Drosophila melanogaster: one gene and its partner. The protein of the gene in region 2 purifies or fractionates together with the protein of the main gene of each other region. This does not show direct contact. Each region holds a gene or a part of one and is shown on either strand. Other genes may lie near its edges.

The links.
Region 1: the proteins of shu (region 2) and armi purify together in Drosophila melanogaster (affinity purification with western blotting, with the first as the bait; one study listed by BioGRID). This does not show direct contact.

Annotation. Positions count from the first base shown.
Region 1 is NT_037436.4:3,459,154-3,466,880, reverse strand, and holds armi (armitage), read right to left. Parts: upstream 5,565-7,727; 5' UTR 5,419-5,564; intron 5,341-5,418; 5' UTR 5,307-5,340; coding exon of another isoform or gene 5,211-5,306; intron 4,778-5,210; exon of another isoform or gene 4,761-4,777; coding exon of another isoform or gene 4,578-4,760; 5' UTR 4,541-4,577; coding exon 4,097-4,540; intron 4,020-4,096; coding exon 3,591-4,019; intron 3,525-3,590; coding exon 2,922-3,524; intron 2,865-2,921; coding exon 1,902-2,864; intron 1,833-1,901; coding exon 1,029-1,832; intron 973-1,028; coding exon 649-972; 3' UTR 567-648; downstream 1-566. Other genes in the region: CycJ (cyclin J), read right to left, coding at 9-195, 259-342; CG46463 (uncharacterized protein), read right to left, coding at 4,578-4,760, 5,211-5,306; eIF5B (eukaryotic translation initiation factor 5B), read left to right, coding at 6,639-6,709, 6,783-7,727. UniProt on the Drosophila melanogaster protein: Probable RNA helicase required for axial polarization of the oocyte during early and mid oogenesis. Plays a central role in RNA interference (RNAi) process, a process that mediates mRNA destruction of translational repression.
Region 2 is NT_033778.4:23,840,849-23,845,231, forward strand, and holds shu (shutdown), read right to left. Parts: upstream 2,439-4,383; 5' UTR 2,347-2,438; coding exon 2,288-2,346; intron 2,231-2,287; coding exon 1,480-2,230; intron 1,405-1,479; coding exon 847-1,404; 3' UTR 613-846; downstream 1-612. Other genes in the region: CG46398 (uncharacterized protein), read left to right, coding at 205-355, 410-591; Snap29 (Synaptosomal-associated protein 29kDa), read right to left, coding at 2,875-3,461, 3,531-3,798; CG5554 (uncharacterized protein), read left to right, coding at 4,311-4,383. UniProt on the Drosophila melanogaster protein: Co-chaperone required during oogenesis to repress transposable elements and prevent their mobilization, which is essential for the germline integrity.

The DNA of each region.
Region 1 (7,727 bases), on a different chromosome or scaffold from region 2:
GTGCTCACCCAGGTGCAAAGCACAGCGACTAAGCTTGTGGGCGCTGGTCGCCAGTTTGAGCAACTGCAGCATTCTTCGGCGCTCGTTCAGCTGCGGCGAAAGGTAAAACAAAGGCCGACGGCTGAGTTCTTGCTCCCTCATGGTCAAAAATATATCCCGGGCATAGTCGGTGAGCCAGTGCGTCTTAGCCAGGCGCTACAAATTGGTATTTAACGAAATAAAGTCGGGTTCGCAAAAGTTAAGCACATGTCCGTTCACCTCGACATCTGCTTGCGGGCAAGTTTTCTTCAATTTGCGGTCGACGACGAAGATGTTCTGCTCGGCAGCCACTTTCTGCTCCATTGTATCGAAATTGAATGCAATGCCTTAAATCACCGATTTTAAGGCAAGAACTTAACGGCGGAAAAAAGCAAAACAAATGAAGGAGAAAACAAAAGGAGCGCAAACATGGCGCTACAACGGTTCCGGCCAGTGCTACCACACTGCGAAGCCAAACGAGCAGCGTTCCCAGACTGCGCTTGGGAGTGTTACCATTCGCTAAAATTAGCACATATGTACAAATATTTAAAACAAGTTTAATGATTAATTGTGTTACTTTAATTCATCAATAACAAGTGTTTTAATTTAATAATAAACTGTCATATGTGCTTAGTTCAAATCATCTGTAGTATTCAGTGAAGGCACGAATGTTTCCAAGCAAACGGGGACCTCATCTTTCTGATTTATCACCATTTGAGGCAGATCACAGCCAAAATAGGCGTTATTTTTGACACAGAACAGGATTAGCTGGCGCCAGCATTCGTCGACGGCCAGAAGATGGGGATTCCCGAAGATGATCATCATGGCACGTGCTCGGGAAACGGCCACGTTAAGTCGCTTGCTGCAACGCACGAATCCCAAGGAGAAGCGGGCATCCATGCGCAGGATCTCTTCTGATGAACGCACCGTGGATATTAGTATAATGTCTCGTTCCTGGAAATAACAAACGTTAAGTGTGCACGTAATATCGATTTTAGTTCCGACCCCACCTGTCCCTGAAACTCCTCGACGGATCCAATCTTCGGCATGACCACGTCGGTGCCAATGAACATACTCCGAAGCATCTTCACCTGCTTCTGATAGGGCGTGATTATACCGATCTGATCGGCAGTCACATTGGCACGGTACAGGGCGATGGTCATTAGGAACACCTCCCTGACCTCTTGGGGATTGAACCAGGAAGGGGAATCGTTATTTTGCCTGTTTTCGCCAATGATTCCGTAAAAGAACGTGCCGTGCGCTTGAGGGATATCCTTTTCTGACTCAAATACACACCGCAGTTTACTTAGTAGGCGAGATTCCCTTGAATCCTTTTCGGAAAGAACTGGGATCAGTTCGTCATCGTAGAATAGCCTGCTATAAATGCTCATAATCGACGGTAATGCTCGGTAATTGTACAACAATTTGGTTAGCACTAGTGGATTGTAGCCGGAGCTTTCGGGAAATCGCTGAAGATCTTTTCGATACGGCGACCGTTCCAGCAATCTCTCCAGAAAGGATATGGAAAATCCCATTTTCGAGGCAATTCGACTGGTGACAATAGACTGCAGCTGGCGAGGATCACCTGAGAGAACAACTTGAGAGCGTTTCTTCGTTAGCATTACAATGGGTACCATTGTTTCTGGTTCGGTGCATTGACCAGCTTCATCGAACAGCACGTGAGTGAAATGGCCCGCTGGAAACCCCAATTGTAAAAAGTTTCCCAAAGTAGTGCAGGTGGAGATGGTAATGCGATGAGTACCTATAAACTTAGCTTGACAGCGAAGCTTCAATCCCGATTCGGTGACCATCATCTATAGCAAATATCAACAAAGCCAAGATTAATTGGTGTCCAATCCAAATGATAAAATTTTTCTACTCACTTTGTCCTCGCAACTGCCCACAGCACCGACATCACTTGTGGCGCAGTAGCTCATTATTTCCGGAGGAATCAAGTCTTTCTCCACTTGATTGTACGAAACGAGGCGAATGAAATCTCCCTGGAGCAAAGCTTTGCTATCGATGAGCCTCTTTGTCACCAAATCCGCTGAGCTGTTCGACGGCGTTCCCACCAAGATTCGGGCACCAGGCAGATTCCTAACCAACTGGAGTAGTGTCTCAATAAGTGTCATTGTTTTTCCACTGCCCGGAGGCCCAAACAGCACATAAGGAATGTTCTCCGCTTCACCGCGCAGTATATTGAAAACAGCACGTTTTTGGATGGAATTAAGCGACTGATTATACCACTCTAATTTCGAATCGTACAAGTACATGTCGTCATCCTTCATATAAACATCCAGCTGGGGATTCTCGCGCTTGGTTACTTTGCTGGGAAACAAGAAATCCTCGCCCATTACTCCTACAATTTTGGAGATGGCATGGTGTTGCTTGCGAAAACTGTAGCGTGAGAAATAGAACTCTAGTCGATAGTCCTCGCCATTATATTTCTCCTGGAAACTGGAATGGAATTTGAGTAAAATGCGATCGAAGAGCACCTTATGGATAATGCCCTCGTATGACTTGGTGGTCTGGGAATCGGGATCCGACCAGGGATTAATGACTCGCAGTGTATCGCCAATGACCAGCGACGGTCGACGCTCGGCTAGATTCTCGATCTGCAGCGTGAGGAACTCTCCGTCACGCAGAAAGTGTGCTCGGTCTCTGTCGTAGTTGCGAAAGTTGACGAAGCACTCGATCTCCTCGAGGTGTAGGAGCAATCTGAAACGGTGCATATAGGTTTTAATGCTTAGGGGTTCCGTGAGGAATGAATAGTGCTGCTCGATGGCCTTGATCATCTCTTGTCGCCGTTCACTAGTCAAACAAATTTGGCGCAATTCTTTGGGCACCTTAAAAGAACGGTAGTATTAAAAATAAGCATATTTTTTAATGAGAGGACTCCTTACTTCAAAGCAACCCAAACGCAGAGCAACAAATCTGCGCTTGGTAACAATTTGTTGTCCCGGGATTACATCCACCTTGTTGCACCAAACTTGGTTGGCATAGAACCGGGACCTCTCCTGGCTGTTACGACCGGGTGCCATCAAAGCTTCAGCTGCTATCATACGTTTCTCAGCTTCAGCGACTTCCTCCTTGGTTTTGCACACGATCACCGTGAAGACGCGCCTCACCTTGAGTAGATCGAAATTCAGCACGTACTTTTCGATTGCTTCCCCCAGGAACTGCGTATGGATCTCAAAGGTCACCGTTATTTCGGAGCCGCTGGATATTTCCTTTGATTCGAGAGGGCTGACCACGCTCAACTGAGACTCACTGTCATTGCAGACGGTGATGCTCTCCAGGCGCAAAGTGCGGTTTAGATTGTTGGTCAGCTTTAAAGATACGCTCTCCTTTTGCCAGAGCTCTGCGGTGATGAAACGATTTACACCAGTCACCGTCACTGCTTTTCCACTGCCGGATGATCCCATACTGCTCTGCTGAGTCAGCTTGGTAGCCCCAAAATTTTTCTCCAGCGGAGTAATCTTAATGGCGCGTCTCGTAAATTTGGACTGGGGAATTAAAACACACGTATAAAGAAGAAAATCGCAAGATTTTATGTTCCTTCTTTAACTTACATACTGGCACTCGATGAGATCGGCGAGCACAATGTCGCCCAGATGAAGATCCGTGCCTGTAGGCAAGTCTGTCTTTAAAATGTAGGTTTCCGGACCCAGCACAACCATGTGCACGTACACGCGCTCCACAATGCACTTTTCACCTTCCTGAATGCGGGTGGGAAACAACTTTGTCACCTCTAGGATTTCTCCCTGTTTGTCCACGAAACCGTCATCCAGCTGAATGTTGCACTCTAGGCGCACTCGATCTCCATTCGTTGGGATGAAGTTCATCTCGATATTGTCTAGCTCGACGGTCAGCTGTCCGTATTCCGTTTCGACGTCTATGGAAGATGCCAGACGCTGGCTAATCAGACCCAAAACGCTCCTTGTTTCGGTGTTAAAGAATGTCGGCTTTTCGTTCTTCAGGTTGTCTACAGCTTTTTCAATCTAATAGAAGTTAGGATTACAGATATTAAGCATTGGCTTTAACAAATGGCTAATAAATCTAATACCGATGAGCTTACCTCCTTTTGGCTTGTGTCCTCCCAGGAATGCTCAAGGATACTCTTCACCTTGACCACCCGCATGGCTTCCCCCGTTGTAAAAGTCAAATATTCCACTACACATCCGACGTGTAGATCCAAGATGATATCCTCTGCCACCTTCGTTTCGAATAAAACGTCTTTGTCGATGACTCCCCGATCGCCGTCTAGACTGGTGATCACTCCCTTTCTGGCGGTGCAGGAACTTTCTTTACTCACGTCCATTTCCGAAAGTCCATGCGTAAGCTCAGCGATCTTGTTACTTAAAACCCCATTAATTTCGTTTGGATTCGCCTTAAGCTGTTGATCCATCTTCTCCTCCATTAGTTTTTGGTCTAAAAAGCTATTCTCCCGATCCAAACTTTCCAGAATATCCTCCCGGTTACGATCCGGGTTCGTGAAAAACTTGCTAACGTATGTGAACATTTTTGAAAATGTTTCGCCGATAAATGCTCTGCCGTTCCTACTGCGCTGCTTTCTTGTCGAGACTCTCGTACATCCAGTCGGTTTCGCTGAGATAGCTCAATTCCTTGCGCAGATTCTGCAGACGCTTCAAGTGGTTCTCCGTCGTCTCCGCCGCCTTCCCGCCCTCGGTGGTTTCGCTCTGCGATTCCGCCTTGTCAGCTCCGATCTCGGGTTTCTTAGCCTGGAAATGTGGACCATCTGTATTGTAAACATTTGAGAACATACAATGTTACCTTCTATGACACCGAAGGCTTAAATATCCTACAATTTTCATTTAACAACATTTTGTTGTTTTACTTCTACGGACAATTTTTGAAATATTTAGAGAATATTTATTTATAAATTTAAATGTATTTATAAGAGCATATATAAAATAAAAAAATTAACATTTGTATACATTTTCTGTATGTTTTGTAACGGAAAATTAAAAACTTTGTGTTAGGGTTCTTGAATTCAATAGTGATTTGTTTTTTAGTCTAGGCTGTTAAAATAACTGCAAAAAAGCAACAGTTTGAATGGAGAAAAAGCAAACGAAAGTCTCAAGAAAAGCGACAGCAACAGTTACTCCTGCACTGCTTTCGTCTCCTTCTACCACGCCAAAACAAGGATGGCAACAACAACAAACTCATACCTCTGTTTCACTGGATTCAACGGGAATATTGGTGGCCGTACCGCTTGTAGATGCTTCTTCTTTGATGGTTATACTTCCGGATGCTTCGCTGGACATTGTCCAATCACGCGGATTTACCTTGGTTATCAAGCTGTGGACCAAATATGTGAGTTCCTTACCGGCTTTTTGCAAATGCACAGCCGGATTTGCTATTTGTACTCGTACTTACAAATATTCTTAACGCTGTTGAATTAGTAGATGCACTGCACTTTGAGTTTTAAGAGTTCAATGGGAAATAGTCATAGTATTCGAAAAAACTCTCGAGCAAAATTTTGAGCACAAAGCGTCTTGGCGAACTTTTAAGTGTGACCGGACTTAGCGGCGTAGAAAATATCCTTGGCTGTGGTATTTTCTTAAAGTGTGTCAAATTAAAGCGGTGGAATATGAAACGTGAGGAAGTTGCTTATGTATTTATATTTTCCTTATTTAAAAAAAGTTCTCAAAAATAAAATGAAACAAAAATGTAAAGTAAAGAACTCAAGAAAGTATATAAAATATCGGCAGTCCACATTTAAGTTTTTGTTTTTGGAATTTACCTCCTCACAAAAATAATACACACGAAGAACTTGTTCTTATTCTTTTATCTTTTTTTCAAGAGTACCTGTTAGTTATCTGTCACTTACATTTAAGAAATAAGCAATCAAATTCCAAAATATGCCAAATATCTTTCCGCAATCCGGAAAGTTTTTCGAGTATATGTGTAAAAAAGTCCATAGATGGTTTCTTTCTCCATAAATACCCTAGTGATCGATATTATTTAAGAGTATGTTCAATACTTTTCGCAGTTGAAATAATTTACCAATTAGGAAAACCAATAAAACCAACTGCCCTATGTCTGATGAGTAAGAAACTGAGCACCAGAGGCGATAAATGGTTCCCGTAAACAGCGCACGCCAGCGCCGAGGCCGCGATTCTATTGAAAAAGGTGTATATATATTTAATATATCTTTATGTACAACTATAGACTCAAAACAAAAATACCCCGCTCAACTGGATATTACAGGGTATAATCGATAACCTTAGCTCAGCCATTGTGATTTTCAGCAATCCACTCGCACGGTCACACTGCCTGTCCAACCCTCCCGCACCGTACTACTCGACAACGTGCTTGTGTGCAGAATTTCCTCGGCTAAATAAAACCAAAAATTGGCAAAGCGCCGTGTCAGATCTAGCCGTCGATTGCACAATTCCGGAGCAGGACGTCGTCGCTGGAGCCACCGAAGCGGAGTCACCATCAGAAGATCACCAGCACCAGGAGAACCCAGTGGACAGTCCTCCTCTTTTTCTTGGCTGCCGAGGCGTCGCGTGTGCGTATCTTTCAGCGGTGAATAACCCACGGCTTTTTGTTTTCGGCCAGAGGAGGAGCGTGTTGCAGTCGCAAACGGGAAGATGGTTAAAGCTAAAAAGGGCAAGAAAGAGATACTGACCAAGGTCGAAGGCGGTTCCTCGGTGGACGAAATGTGAGTCTTGTGCAAGTTCATGCCCACCTGCCAACTTGGCAAACTTTCTATCGCAAATTATTCAATCTTACAGCTCCGATGTGGACAGCGACCAGTTGAGCCTCAACAACAAGCAGAATCATGCCCTGAAGGGCAATCAAGCTGGCGATGACGATGTTAAAGCCGTGACCAAGGGGGTCAAGAAGCTTAATGTCAAGGGAAAAGGCAAAGCAGGCAAAAATGACGACTCCGATGAGGAGGAGGTGGTGCCCGCCAAGGGCAAAGCTTCTAAGAAGTCGGCTTTTGAGCTGCTAATGGACGACGACGAGCAGGACGAGCCAGCTGCCCAGGAAAGCCAGTCTGAGAAGGAGGAAAAGGTAGTGGTCTCCAAGCCACAGAAGAACGAAAAGAAGGGCAAAAAGGCCAAACGCAAGGGGAAGGACGACGACGATGAAGATCTGGACAAGGTTTTAGCTGAGCTTCAAGCGGAATACGCCGGCGAGGCTGCTCCTGCTGCCACTACTGTTGTTTCCCCCGAAGAATTGGCCGATGAGTTCTCCAAGAAAAAAAAGAACAAGAAGCAGGCCAAGCAGGCTGCAGTGGCAGAAAACGCCGGAGAGGATGAGGCCAGCGATGACGAGGAGGGCGGCAGCACTGTGAAGTCGGCAGCCCAGAAAAAGAAGGAAAAGAAGGAGCGCCAAAAGAGGGAGGCTGCCCTAGCCAAGCAAAAGGCAGCTACTGAACCCAAACCGAAGCCCGTGGAGAAACCTGCGCCAGAACCCGAGCCTGTGGCTACGGAAGAAGTCCAGCCCGCCGCCGAGGAAGAGGAGGAAAAGTCCAGCAAAAACAAGAAGAAGGGCAAGAAAGACAAAAAGGCCGAGCCTGAGGAGGAGAAGAAGGACGCCAAGAAGAAGGGTATGTCTGCCTCCATGGTGGCGGCCATGCAGGAGCAGCTAAGAAAGCGAAAGGAGGAGGAGGAGCGCCTGGAGCGGGAGGAGGCAGAGCGAATTCGCCTGGAGGATGAGCGCGAAGAAGCCCG
Region 2 (4,383 bases):
TTTGCCTTGCAGTTACAATCTTGTAAAAACACATTTACATTCATCAGGGCGGCACAACTGTTCTTTAATCTATTGCGACACTGAACAATCCCAAGCTTTGAATTAGGAACTAGCTGGTAGCCATAGACAGTCGTTTAACTAAACAGGTTTGGAGGAGATCAAAAACTTTCGGGCCAATTAAAAAAAATAGCTTTCTTCGAGAAAATGGCAGATACGAAATCCCAAGCGGAAACATTTATTGAAAACGTCCTGGGCATTGATGATGGAAAAGCAAGCTTAAGTGCGGGCGAACTACCTATGGCCAGGAGTTTTTTCTGTCCGCTCCTGCTGCTTGTTCTTTGGATAGTCTCCTTAAGTACGGATGTGAGTTGCTCTTAGACCAAATCCTCTTACTTTCTTATTTTCCCAGGCATTTTGGGTTGTATATGCGTGTGCTGCAAGTTTGTGAAATCGGAATCATTTACGAGCTACGACTCCGACAGCTTTGAGCTGCAGGAGGTTCATATCGTAGAGCCCAGACTTGGACATGTCAAAGGATGTGCGTGCCTGGAGTGCCTGCATCGCCAATTCGAGCAAAGTAATGGAAAGTAAATTAAGTAGTACCTGACGATTATGTAGCTGCCGTGCATTACTTTTATTGTGGTTTTTAACAACTTAAGGTCTACGTTGCTCTAAATAACAAAAAACGTTAACATTCGTCTGGGCTTACGATATTCATGTTGCTAATATCGAAATAACTAATGATACTGCTCTTCTAGAACTTGGAACTAAATTACCTTCATGTTTGGTATGTTTTTTTTTTTGAGTAAGATATGAAATATGAAATACTGGGGCTTCTTAGTAAGCTCAAGCGAACTTAACATCCGGCTTAGACAATGTCAGAACATCCTCTTGGATGGGAGACAAAGTTAGCTTCAGGTTGTGTTCCTTGGCCAATTTGCAAGTCGCGTCGAACTGAGCGTTCGAATAAGATTTACGTGAAAAGCTCACTTGTTGATCTGAAGTGTTCTTAAACCGCCTAATCAAATCTTCCATTTTGTCATTGAAATCCTGTTCCTTTGCCTCCTTCTCCAGCTGAGCAGGCGTTTTGCGGACGTCTGACTTTGAGTTCTTTAACGAGAAGGCACGTGCCCATATATCGCGACTGGCCTCCTCATACTTGCTGATTCTCTTGTTCATGCTGATAATCTCGTCGCTGATCTCCTTGTTCGCCGGCTGCTTGGCCTGCGCCTGCAGGTAAGCGTTGCGGGCCAAGTTGTACTCGCCCAGAGCGGCCAGGGCGCGTCCCTCCTGGAAGAGCGCCTTGCAAGACGGATTGCCCATGGTCAGGTGCCGTAAGGCCTTCATCATGATGCAGGCGCGCTTCGGCTTGTTCATCTTGTTGTAAACGATCATCAGGTTTTGCTGAGAAAGGAGACAAGGAATCAACTGCCTGGTCGAGAACGCTGCCTCTGCAAGCTATTCTTGTTGGCCACTTACGTTCAGGGTAGTAAGCAGTTCAGTTTGCTTGCGCTCCTCCTCGTCATTGGCCATTCGGCAGTAGTTCAGTGAGCTCACTGCCCGTTCGAAGGCAGTTGCTGCACTCTGATAGCGTCCGAGCTTCACCGAGTCCTTGCCATGTAGGTGCAAGTCGACAGCCTTCGGATAGACCACACAAAACTTGTCGCGGTCTTCTTGGGGGATAGCATCGATGCCCTTCGCATCTCCTATGAGCGAGTAGTCAATTACCTCCACTTTAAAGAGCGCATCCGCCTTGGGCTTGATCCGCGGAGGGCAACCGAGTTCTCCGAAAAGCAGCTTGTAGGAGATTATAAACTCGGCCTGCTCGTAAGGACGCATGCTGCGGACGGCGACCTCCAGGCCTTCAACCACCGTTCCCTGGCCAGTTTCAAACACGAATTTGCTGCCCCGCAGCAGGGAGGAGTCGAAGGGAGCGGTCTCGCCCTCCCAGTAGCCACTGTACCGAACCGAGACCCTAGCCTTGTTCGGCACCGCCTCCCGATCCACGTGACCGGTGCGAGTGATCCGCTTGTAAATGTTTTCGTCGATCTCGCTCATCAGCGCACGCAGTTCGTCGAATGAATATGTCCACGGTGAACGTAGCTCCTCGCCGTCCACGTCCAGCGCATCCTCGTAGTCGCTGTCGCTGTCGCTGTCGAGACCCAGATCCCTGGCATGGTTCTGCTGCGAATTGTCGACCTCGAACTCAACGCCCTTTTTCACGAGATCCCTGCAGAATGAGTTGCACGTGGTCATGAGTGCCTTTAATATGTATCTTATTACTCACGAATAGGACAAGGGATTCTTGAGCAACTGTGGGGTGTACGGTTCGAAGTTTTCTTCCATTATCGCAAAATTTACAGAATATTTACGAAACGAATTCCGGAATGCGCTGAGTTGGCGCTATTCTTTTGGATGCGTTTGAGAAAAGAGCTTTCCAGCGATGGTATCAACTGGAATTCGATTGCTTGATAGCTTTAGCGAATCGATTGGTCGCTGTTGTCCGGAAGTTATCGAATTCAAACAAAGAACTATATATCTTTATTAGGGCGCGAGCACTGCAACTCGAGATATCTTCCGAAAATGTATAATGTATTCCAATCCAGACGGGGAAACACTAGGCCAGATATACTTGCTTTTTATATGAATCTTTATTTAAAACTGAACACTTATCGCTCTCCAACTACGAGCACTCCATTGAGAGAATTGTTTTGGTGTGTGTAACAATAAAAAACTAGGAAACATAATGAGGAATGCATTCTTAATGGCCTTGTGAAGTGCTCACCGTGCGATATGGTATGGCTAAGATTTGTATATTAAGGGAGGGCTATTCTAAGCAATGATCAATACAATAGTATGCGAATGCTCGCTTGTTCACTTCTTCAGAAGCTTGCTCATGTCCTTGTTCTGCTTGTGAATCTTCAAGTCGACATCCTCAATTTTGTAGTTCATGTTATCCAGCAATTCATTTTGCGACTCAATTTCGCCACCCAGATCGGTGGCCAGCATCTTCAGCACCGACAGGTTGCTGCACATCTCCTCCAGATTGGAATCGATCTGGGCCTGGAAGGGATTGGCCGCCTGTCGCTGGGGCTGGTAGGTGCTGCTGGGATCACCACGCAGCTGGCTAACCGGATGATTGTCGTAGCGCTCCGCTGGTGATAGCGGAGCCGAGGGGCTAGCACCGCCACAGGCACCCTGGTTAATGTTGCTATTGGCCTCCTGGGAGGACTGACTGCCCGTGGGCGAACCAGTCGCGGTGGGTGGTTGGTCCCTGTTGCCCGAAAGGTAGTTCTTGAGGCCGCCGAAGACACTCTTCAGACCAGTCAGATGGCGCTGGCTGAAGCGCAGCGTGGAGCTGATCTCGTCCAACTGATGTGATGTCTTCTCCAGTTGCTCCCGCTGCTTGGCCAGCTCCACGGCCGTCGCCTTACCCACCTCCTGGGTTTCGTAGAGCAGACCTGGGGGTTGTAGGAGAGAGACGCATCAATAACGCCCCTTAATTGGCTGGCAATTGACCCCATGTTTACCCAAGCTTTTGTTGGTAGAGTCCAGAGTTCGCTGCTCAATGGCCCTTCGCTTCTCAGCATAGGCCAGTCGCTGTGCGGCCACTGATGGCGACGAGGTTATCTCCTCTTCGTCATCGTCATCCATCTCGAAGGGATTGGTGCTCCTCTGCTGCGGAAGCTTGGCTGCTCCCGTCCGTTTGTTCTGCAGGAATAGGTCGTCGTCCACGTCCTCGAATCTGTCCACGTCATCGAAGTGATCGTGCACTGGCTGCAGGTAGTTATGGGCCATTTCTTGTGGCGAGGGAAACTTCCAAAATGTCGAATTTTGTTATGTTTTCGTAAACTTTTATTTTCTTTGTTGTTGTCTGGAGTTATCGATTGCAATAGCGATGGTACAAATGTAGTATTTGTATGCAGTTCAATCGACTTATAAATAGCTTGACATTGCAGAGGCTTCAATAAAATAAGTTATTATAATTAAAATGATTTTGAAGATACGATAAAAATTGAATTTGTATGTAAGAAAACTTGAAGCTTGATCTAATAAATAAAAAATCGTGTAACGAGCGAATACCGACCGAATCCCCCTACCGATGATCTAGCGGGGAATAAAGCGGCTTGCCATCTCCGATGGATATCGAACCAGCACTTCTGTCAATTTTCCAGCAGGCGTCGCAGTTTCTGTAACTTTTTGGAACTGACCAAGACGGAAGCTTTAGTTTAATTTAAGAAACTGTCGCAGCCGAACGTCACAGGTTTCAGGACACGAATCGGCGGAGCAAAGCACCAAAACATCACCACATGCATAGCACATCGTACTTTGTGGCCGCGACATGCGCGGCGCTGCTTCTGCTGGCGGCGACGGCGCAGTCGA